Linked DNA regions of Xenopus tropicalis. The protein of the gene in region 3 interacts with the protein of the main gene of each other region in a pairwise test. Links are inferred from orthologs where the notes say so. Each region holds a gene or a part of one and is shown on either strand. Other genes may lie near its edges.

Evidence for each region.
Region 1: the proteins of lnx1 (region 3) and pomgnt1 interact in binary tests that used the Homo sapiens proteins (3 or more experiments, as listed by UniProt). The link is inferred for Xenopus tropicalis from reciprocal best matches to the Homo sapiens genes LNX1 and POMGNT1.
Region 2: the proteins of lnx1 (region 3) and dnpep interact in a two-hybrid assay, tested with the Homo sapiens proteins (3 studies listed by BioGRID and IntAct). The link is inferred for Xenopus tropicalis from reciprocal best matches to the Homo sapiens genes LNX1 and DNPEP.

Annotation. Positions count from the first base shown.
Region 1 is NC_030680.2:92,988,237-92,991,993, forward strand, and holds the start of pomgnt1 (protein O-linked-mannose beta-1,2-N-acetylglucosaminyltransferase 1), read right to left. Parts: upstream 2,720-3,757; 5' UTR 2,638-2,719; coding exon 2,518-2,637; intron 1,519-2,517; coding exon 1,416-1,518; intron 752-1,415; coding exon 636-751; intron 1-635. UniProt on the Homo sapiens protein: Participates in O-mannosyl glycosylation by catalyzing the addition of N-acetylglucosamine to O-linked mannose on glycoproteins.
Region 2 is NC_030685.2:83,817,102-83,820,278, reverse strand, and holds part of dnpep (aspartyl aminopeptidase), read right to left. Parts: intron 3,077-3,177; coding exon 2,909-3,076; intron 1-2,908.
Region 3 is NC_030677.2:39,751,729-39,755,385, forward strand, and holds part of lnx1 (E3 ubiquitin-protein ligase LNX), read right to left. Parts: intron 1,790-3,657; coding exon 1,418-1,789; intron 1-1,417.

The DNA.
Region 1 (3,757 bases), on a different chromosome or scaffold from region 3:
TACTTTATAAATGTGATGAGCCGGCAACCTTGAACATGAAGCAATCCATTGTAAAAACAAAGTCTATCTGAAGTTTATATCATAAATTACAAGGAACAAAACCAATTGAAAGCAAGAAGCTGTTACAGAGTGAGTAGGTAAGGGTGCATGTTCCACAGAGGATGTTTCAGGGGGCAAGAGTAAAAAAAAAAAAAAAAGTTTTAGAAAAGTGGTGTAATAAACAATACAAGAAGTTCTTGTTATAAAAATCATAAATATGGCAGATACAGATTTCAACCTGTGCGTCTAAACTACAGAAAGGAAAGTCTGTCAAACAAACCCATGAAGGACAGAAAGGGCCACAACCAGAAGGTTGTGAAAACTGGCAACAAAATGCCAGAGGGATACTTTTGTACAGCAACTTCTTTACAACATCAAAAAAAAAAGGCTAAAATAAAGTCCTCTTTTGTGCATGTCAACACTGTAAAATATAAAACAAAGGTTTCCTATGCCCTTTTAGGGTGGGAGTGCTAAATAATGCGACACCTGATAAGCTGTTTCTGAAAATCAATATTTGTCAGAATTAAATGTTTGCTTTTATCTCACTGGAATCTTGCCTTTCTGCATATATTTCCAAAGTTTAAGCCAAGACTTACTGTAGTTCCATCCACAGCTATGTAAACCTTTGATCTGCTTGAGTAAATTTCAATGTCCAGCACTTTCTTACTGCTGGCAGGTCGACGTGGGGAATCCTCTTGTTGCAAAGATTCATCTGAGTGAAAAACAAATATTTGCAAAAAAAAAAAAAAAAAAAAAGCTTACCAGCTTGCACTTCATATTATACATCCAGCATAACTGAACATATAATACTATGTGTAACAGTGTACTGTTTAATGGTCTTTTGGTTTATGTATGCACTGGTAACCTACCTCACAAGATTTTGTTGCTCTGTTTAACTAGAGTAAAAAACTGTATATTGTTTTGTGATTAAAACCATACACAAAAACTATGTTCTGTTCAAAGTCTTTATCTTTACCGTTCTTTCTTTCACACAATAAAAAAAACAGCAAGTAAGCTTATTTAAAAAAATAAAATTAACTCATCTTAAGACTGATAGCACACCAGAGTGCCTTTTAGTCAGCTGCAAACCACCAGAAATCACTCCCTGCTAATCCCCCCTGAACTGAATAGAAAAAAAGCCTGATTGCTATGTGGTGAAAAGCATAAAACTGGGCCAAACCACAAATTCGGGTTCAGAGACTTAGTCAGTAATTTGCAAATAAGAAAAAATTCCCAGCATATTTTAAGATGTTGATTTGTAGATCACAAAGATCTCCATTTGAAAAAGCATCACCCAGAGTTAACTACACTAAACTTAGATCCTTCATCTATGTCTTAGGTAGTATGGAAATATGTGCCATCCTTTATAGGCTTACCATAGTCCTGATCAATTTCTTCTTCATTTACTGCTCTTCTTGTGTCCAGTATAAGCTTGATGTTTACAATAACTGTTACAAGTAGGAACAAAACAGCTGTTGTCTTCATATAAGGAAAAAAAAACACAACAGATTATCTTATGTACTAAGTATCTTGTAAAATGATTACACTCACAGTGGAGGGACGCAGCTCTGAATTCTGTACTATAGCATAGGATAACCAATGTAAACTAAAATAAAGAATGTTTTGTCTCAGCTATGTCTGAGACATGCAAAAGAATTTCAAAAGCCATGGATGAAAATAGGCCCTTTCAAAACTAACCACTACAACACAAGATGGGAATACCTGGTGGAGGAAAGCATTAATTCAATATATGACTAAGAACCTCAATAACTAATAATTATAATGCAGTTTTACAAAAACTGTATACAAAATCAGACTGCTGTGACAATTGTTTTTTACAATTAACCCAGAGGAAAAGTCAAGTGGAGAAAAAAAGGCTGGTCACACTGACCTGTCATTATAGTTTGGTAAAGTATTACTTACAAATTATATCCTAAAAGCAAGCTATTTGGGCTCCATAGTTTCCCAACCCTTTACACCACTAAGTGAAAATACCTAACGCTAGAAGTATTTTAAAGTGCAAACGTTACAGCATATTATATATCAGGTAATGTACTGTTCCACATATTTTGCTAAGATTTTGTACTTTAGCTACCCAAGTTTTCTTCATTTGGCAAAGCTGATTTTTCTATTCACTCCAAATCCTAAAAACAGGACGCTGCCAACTTTCCCCAACACCATCTAGCGGCATTGTCAAGGCACTTCTATCATGATTATATTTACCCCTTATTTTGCTTTCATCTGTGGCAGCTATACATTGTATGATCTTGAACGTGGATCATGCAAAGTATCATATCTGCTCTGCAGAAAGTAAGATTTCAGTTCAAAGTATTTCAATCCAAATAGTTGGCAGAAAATGACTTCTAAAGAAATTAAATCATTCTGCATGCATACAAATTACACAATGGCATGCAGAGTGGGGTGTGATTTCTGGGTGTGTTAATGCTTCCCATTTTTTGTAGAAACCCTTAGACTTACTTGACACATACGTCGTATAGCCCTCTGATTGCTCATTTTATATTTCCAGGCAAGGTACCAACTACGCTTCTTATGTGGCAGAGGGAGCTTTGAATGGGAATCTGGGTCCCACTCATCCATTGTTTCTAAGCAGGGCCAAGTCCTTTGTAGGCCTGACTTCTGTTTTCTCTAGTCAGGGGCATCCATAATGCTAGATGTTTTTAATGGGCAGAGTCCTGTAAAAAAAAAAAAATTTCCTTATCAATCGGTTTCTAAGTAGGCACAGAGACAGTATATCCCAGAAAGAGACAGTGAATATCAAAGAAGAAATGTCACCAATAACCACAGCTGATTTTTAATAAATCTGTTCCAAATATATCCTTTTGTTTGGATGTTAAGGGGAGGCAGGCAGTACTGCACTAACTTGAAACCTAGCGTGCCTGCATGTTCTTTTTCCTACACAGCTTTTGTACTGCTCGTTTGTCACAGAAGTTTTAGCCTGTATAGCTGCAAGGGGACTGGATAGGCAGAGGGGGATTAAACTTCACCCTCTATGTGTATACAGCTCTACGGGGACTACACCTTATGGGACAAAACGTGCAGCTCATAAAGCCGTAAAGGTGAGAGAACACAGAAACCCTAGCTCCCGTCTTCCCTTCCCAAGCTCACTGACAGCAAAGATGACTCGGCCAATCCAAGTAAATGAATGCTGCACCAACAGTACCGATGTTCCCAACACAGCCCGCAGCCCCGGCTCGCTACTTACACCTCCCTCAAAGCTGCTCCTAGCAAGCTCCTTACAGAAAGACCCGAAGCCACAAGTCTCATCACGCGAGACTGGGGCATCACAACGTAAGCGCAGTGACGTAGCAGCTCTGTGTGAGTGACGAGCGGAGACGGCGCAAATTAGCGTTCAATGATTTGCCGCTAGTAGTAAGCGGCTGTGGGTCGGTTAGCAATCTGTTTTCTTTTCTGTTCGCACTACTTAGGGTGAAGACACACTGAGCTAATAGTAACAGCTACTTGTCACAGCTACATAAATAGACAATGCTGATCATTTACTGATAACTGTCTCTATGGGGCTGATTTACTAACCCCCGAATCCTAATTGGAAAAATTCAGATTGGAAAACGAACATTTTGCGACTTTTTTCGTATTTTTTGCGATTTTTTCATTGTCGTTACGACTTTTCGTAAATTGTCGCGACTTTTTCGTAGCCATTACGATTCGCTCGTATCTTGTGGCGACTTTTTTGTATTGT
Region 2 (3,177 bases), on a different chromosome or scaffold from region 3:
ATTTCCCCTCTGCTCCCTAAATCCTCAACCGTCCGATTTACCCTCAGCTCCCTAAATCCCCAACCGTCCGATTTCCCCTCAGCTCCCTAAATCCTCAACCGTCCGATTTCCCCTCAGCTCCCTAAATCCTCAACCGTCCGATTTCCCCTCAGCTCCCTAAATCCCCAACCGTCCGATTTCCCCTCAGCTCCCTAAATCCCCAACCGTCCGATTTCCCCTCAGCTCCCTAAATCCCCAACCGTCCGATTTCCCCTCAGCTCCCTAAATCCCCAGCCGCCCGATTTCCCCTCAGCTCCCTAAATCCTTAACCATCCGATTTCCCCTCAGCTCCCTAAATCCCCAACCGTCCGATTTCCCCTCAGCTCCCTAAATCCTCAACCGTCCGATTTCCCCTCAGCTCCCTAAATCCTCAACCGTCCGATTTCCCCTCAGCTCCCTAAATCCCCAACCGTCCGATTTCCCCTCAGCTCCCTAAATCCCCAACCGTCCGATTTCCCCTCAGCTCCCTAAATCCCCAACCGTCCGATTTCCCCTCAGCTCCCTAAATCCCCAGCCGCCCGATTTCCCCTCAGCTCCCTAAATCCTCAACCATCCGATTTCCCCTCAGCTCCCTAAATCCTCAACCGTCCGATTTCCCCTCAGCTCCCTAAATCCCCAACCGTCCGATTTCCCCTCAGCTCCCTAAATCCTCAACCGTCCGATTTCCCCTCAGCTCCCTAAATCCTCAACCGTCCGATTTCCCCTCAGCTCCCTAAATCCCCAACCGTCCGATTTCCCCTCAGCTCCCTAAATCCCCAACCGTCCGATTTCCCCTCAGCTCCCTAAATCCCCAACCGTCCGATTTCCCCTCAGCTCCCTAAATCCCCAACCGTCCGATTTCCCCTCAGCTCCCTAAATCCCCAACCGTCCGATTTCCCCTCAGCTCCCTAAATCCTCAACCGTCCGATTTCCCCTCAGCTCCCTAAATCCTCAACCGTCCGATTTCCCCTCAGCTCCCTAAATCCCCAACCGTCCGATTTCCCCTCAGCTCCCTAAATCCCCAACCGTCCGATTTCCCCTCAGCTCCCTAAATCCCCAGCCGCCCGATTTCCCCTCAGCTCCCTAAATCCTTAACCGTCCGATTTCCCCTCAGCTCCCTAAATCCTCAACCGTCCGATTTCCCCTCAGCTCCCTAAATCCCCAACCGTCCGATTTCCCCTCAGCTCCCTAAATCCCCAACCGTCCGATTTCCCCTCAGCTCCCTAAATCCCCAACCGTCCGATTTCCCCTCAGCTCCCTAAATCCCTAACCGTCCGATTTCCCCTCAGCTCCCTAATTCCCCAACCGTCCGATTTCCCCTCAGCTTCCTAAATCCTTAACCATCCGATTTCCCCTCAGCTCCCTAAATCCCTAACCGTCCGATTTCCCCTCAGCTCCCTAAATCCTTAAGCATCCGATTTCCCCTCAGCTCCCTAAATCCCCAACCGTCCGATTTCCCCTCAGCTCCCTAAATCCCCAACCGTCCGATTTCCCCTCAGCTCCCTAAATCCTCAACCGTCCGATTTCCCCTCAGCTCCCTAAATCCCCAACCGTCCGATTTCCCCTCAGCTCCCTAAATCCTTAACCATCCGATTTCCCCTCAGCTCCCTAAATCCCCAACCGTCCGATTTCCCCTCTGCTCCCTAAATCCCCAACCGTCCGATTTACCCTCAGCTCCCTAAATCCCCAACCGTCCGATTTCCCCTCAGCTCCCTAAATCCTCAACCGTCCGATTTCCCCTCAGCTCCCTAAATCCTCAACCGTCCGATTTCCCCTCAGCTCCCTAAATCCTTAACCGTCCGATTTCCCCTCAGCTCCCTAAATCCCCAACCGTCCGATTTCCCCTCAGCTCCCTAAATCCTCAGCCGCCCAATTTCCCATCAGCTCCCTAAATCCTCAACCGTCCGATTTCCCCTCAGCTCCCTAAATCCTCAGCCGCCCAATTTCCCATCAGCTCCCTAAATCCCCAACCGTCCGATTTCCCCTCAGCTCCCTAAATCCTCAGCTGCCCGATTTCCCCTCTGCTCCCTAAATCCCCAACCGTCCGATTTCCCCTCTGCTCCCTAAATCTGCACAGGGGTCACCGAGACCCCAAATACTCAGACTTGGGTTTGCTTTCTAACTCCGTTGCCCAAGTCCTTGAGTGAGTTATTGAGCTCGATTCCCCATTGGCTCCCGATATTCTCTTCCCTGAAGCAGTGACCTATAAACCAGGGTACTTGTATGTTATGAGAACCAGCAGTGCAGTCTCCCTGGGTGGAAGGGTTTATGGAGCTGCCGCTGATAAGGACAAAGGATGAGGAGGGATAATCTGGTAAAACAGAAGGCACTTTCCGTGCTCTGACACAGATCAACCCAACGATCAATCAATCCGTGATCAACACCTCCCAGTTTTCCCAGCCAGCCTATGGTTATCAAGAAAGTCTATGGTTACGGCTGGCTGAGGATTCTGGGAGATTTAGCTCAGAGACAGTGAGATTTAAACTGATCTGTTATCCCACTGCAAGATCTCTGGCTGGAGAGAATACATCCAATGGCAATGAGATGAGGCAGTAGTGTAACCCCCAGCTGGGGGAATGAAGGATTTCCTTTCTACTGAAACATATTTATGGGATTTGAGGGCATTGCTTTTTGATATTGAGTTAAGACTTGAAATTAAAGGTCAACAAAGTAGTTGATAGAGTAAAACAATTTAATTGCCCTTTTCCCAAACCGTAAAATGCTAGTTGTCCTTTCCGTTTTCTTCTGGACTGTACCAAGTTCCTTCAGATGGGGGAGGGGGAAACATCTGAGCTTGGTACTGTTATTAATACAGTAAATATTGCTTCATTGGCAATAGTATAACCCTGAAAATGCCCCATACTCATAGCCCCATGTGTTATGTTCTTACCTGGAACAAGGTGGAGGTCTGCAGGACCCCGGAGGTGCAGCACATCTCCCGCACTGAGTGCATGGCCAGCTGGGGGCAGCCCAGGTCCAGTACCCGCAGGCCCAGCTTGCACGCCAGGATGGGCCCAATGGTGGTACCGCAGGGCGCGTCATTTCTCACCATGAATTCCTGGGGAACAAGAGCCACAGTGCGAAACGCCCAAGTCAGAAACACGATGGCAATAAATTCCCGGTTCGGCCATAACATTCTACATGAAACTGAAGCCAATA
Region 3 (3,657 bases):
TTTTAGCTGGTGTATTTTTGCATTCAGGTTTGTTGGGGTTTTTTCATACAATAAATTGCGACAAAATCTATTTTTTTCCGTGACAAGAAAAAAAAAGAGGGAGTGAGACAGGAGGAGCGAGAGGAAGGGGTACAGGGTGGAGGAATAGCTGCCCGAGGAGAGCAGCAGTGAGATGTGCTGTCCCTTTAAGTTATAAACAGCATGATGTGAAGTAGTAATGTACCAATTTAATTTGCAGTTTGGTCCCATAGGAAAATGACCAAACTGTAGATTATACAGGAAATAAAATGCCCTCTATTGTAAAATTAGTCACCAAGGAGTTCCATGACTGTATAAAGGCACAAGGCCAAAGGCCTTGTAGAAAACGTCTTTCTTCCTTCACATAGTCATAGCTACTGGGGTATCCCAATCTAACTGCCTCTTAGCGGGTAGAACAGCCAATTATAAGCAAGTGCAGTAGTCATATCTGAACTAAAATCCGGCAGAAGAGTGAAAGATTAGCTATGAATTGTATAGTATTAATAATACTGGGTATGCTAACAAATGCTATAAACACCTCAGAATCCATGGAATTTCTAGCCTTTAGAATGTTTTGTAACTGCTCATCAATTTCTAATATCCTTATTTTACAAGCAGGGGTTACAATTTCATATTTATCCATATCATTTTCTTACGTGTAACAGTGAACGTATACTACATTGAGCCACAATCCACGCTATGTTAAACATTAAACTCTTGTTGAACACCAAAGCAAATTAATGTCTGGTTTTACTTGGATTAATTCAACTCACATAAATATTGGAAAGGATTTACCATAATGTACATTGTGCCTGATCCGATGCATTTTCCTTAGACACTGAAGGGGGTAATACAGAAATCTGAAATGTATTAATCAGCTCCAAGTGCTAGTTATGCACGAGATGTCATGATAATGCATTATAGAGCATGTAAGCCTGCAAGTTTTTTTCCTATTATATTACTTTTTTGGTGTAGCTTTGCTTATAACCTATATCGTAAGCATAATATTAGCTTTATGCAGTAGGGTAGTAGTTATCAAAGGTTTCAGTTCAAGTCCCAGTTGAAAGTCCAGCCTTTGGTCAAGGACTCTCTTAATGGTTGAACCTTTGGTCAGGCCCACCCTAAGCTCATGAAATGAGCACAGATACAGGAAAATATTGGTTTATCATTTATAGGTTCAAAAATATCTGGGACAGCAAATACATACTGATCACAAATCTCACCCCAACTGACCTCCAAGTTAGACTTTCAAGTATATCTAGGAGAATATATAAACATCCTCCCAAATTCTCCCCCAAACTTGCCTTCAGGCTGAGCCCCACATGCCACTGCTCCAACCCCTGTAGGATGGCCATCCCCCTAGTTTGGGAGCCACTGTGATAGGATAACAGTTACTCACCTGTATGAGCTGGGCTGCAATTTCAGGTGTCCCGTTGCGTAAATCATGTCCATTAATTGACAAAACCCGATCATTTTCCTGCAAATAACCATCTCTTGCAGCAACGCCTCCTTCCAGTAGATTAAAAATGTATATTCCAGGCTCGTCTCTTCTTCGGACCAGTTTTATTCCTAGCTGCACATCATGGCTGCTTTTGTTTAATACAACATGGATGCTGTCATCTTGTGGACTGTGTTGTTCCATGTTGACTCCATTGGTTCGACACTTGTACCTCTGTTCTCGGAGGACTGTAAGCCTTAGCACTTTGGAAGGCTGTCTGAGAACGGAAAGGGCGTATGTGTGAGGCACACTGCTTATATCAATGCCATTGACCTGTTCAAAAGAATGTAAAGGAAAATATTAAATTATTTTTCTTTCTTTAAATACTAACCAATTTATGTGGGTATAATTACTGCAGTAACAGAATACAACATATTTAGGTACTACAAACCCCTACCCAATTCAATTTTGTTGAAGCTGTGCAGTATATGGTCCTTCTATAAAGTTACAATTTAAAATTTACATTTACAATTTAAAATTAGAAGAACATATATTCCTTAATCAATGGTTTTACACCAGGTTCCAATTATAGGCACTGTATAGCCACAATTTAATCAACTTAAGAAGCTCAAACTTATGCTTAGGATTAAATACTCTGTTTCATTCTATGGGTAAATATGTTATGGCTCACTGTAGATATGGATGTTTTAGAAATAACTCATGATGCAAACAAAGTACTGGAATGAAGGAAATAGAAGACCATTGTTATCGTGTTAATATGTGAACTTGGAAGCATTATTAGGATAGCACTGGCAGAGAGCATATAAAGAATGGAAGCTGAATGATGAGCTATGAGATGACAATGAATGATTTCCAGCTGACTGACCCTATGAAATGTTATTAAAGATGACATTGTTCAGTTCTCTTGTGTGTTTCACAGAGTATGAGAGGCAAATGGGTGATGCTTGCCCACTTGGGGAAATGTGGCACTTTTAGGTTACCATAGTGTTAGGACATTTCTATACTGTTGTGCCCATTTCTACAAAAAGGGTGGGGGGGGGAGTGGAGCACAGCTTTGGGTGGCTTTGTGTTATGTATATCAGGAATAAATGAACTTCCGAAACCTCCCTTATGTGTTTACATTACTTAGTATGCCTGAAAATGTTTGAATAAGTATACCCCCCAAACAATACAGGTCTCTATAAAAATATATTACATAAAACAGCTCATATGTAAAACCCTGCTTCCTCTAAATAACCCAATTTTCATAAAATATACTTTTTTAGTACAGGTATGGGATCCCTTATCCGGAAACCCGTTATCCAGAAAGCTCCGAATTACGGAAAGCCCGTCTCCCATAGACTCCATTTTAATCAAATAATTCAGAATTTTAAAACGGATTTCTTTTTTCTCTGTAGTAATAAAACAGTACCTTGTAATTGATCCCAACTAAGATATAATTAATCCTTATTGGAGGCAAATAATCCTATTGGGTTTAATTAATCTTTTATTGTTTTTTAAGTAGACTTAAGGTATGGAGATCCAAATTACGGAAAGACCACTTATCCGGAATACCCTTGGTCCCGAGCATTCTGGATAACGGGTCCCATACCTGTACTACAGTGGCTTGCAAAAGTATTCGGCCCCTTGAACTTTTCCACATTTTGTCACGTTACACCCACAAACATGAATCAATTTTATTGGAAATCCACATGAAAGACCAATACAAAGTGGTGTACACGTGAGAAGTGGAATGAAAATCATACATGATTCCAAACATTTTTTACAAATAAATAACTGCAAAGTGGGGTGTGTGTAATTATTCAGCCCCCTTTGGTCTGAGTGCAGTCAGTTGCCCATAGACATTGCCTGATGAGTGCTAATGACTAAATAGAGTGCACCTGTGTGTAATCTAATGTCAGTACAAATACAGCTGCTCTGTGATGGCCTCAGAGGTTGTCTAAGAGAATATTGGGAGCAACAACACCATGAAGTCCAAAGAACACACCAGACAGGTCAGGGATAAAGTTATTGAGAAATTTAAATCAGGCTTAGGCTACAAAAAGATTTCCAAAGCCTTGAACATCCCACGGAGCACTGTTCAAGCGATCATTCAGAAATGGAAGGAGTATGGCACAACTGTAAACCTACCAAGACAAGGCCGTCCACCTAAACTCACAGGCCGAACAAGGAGAGCGCTG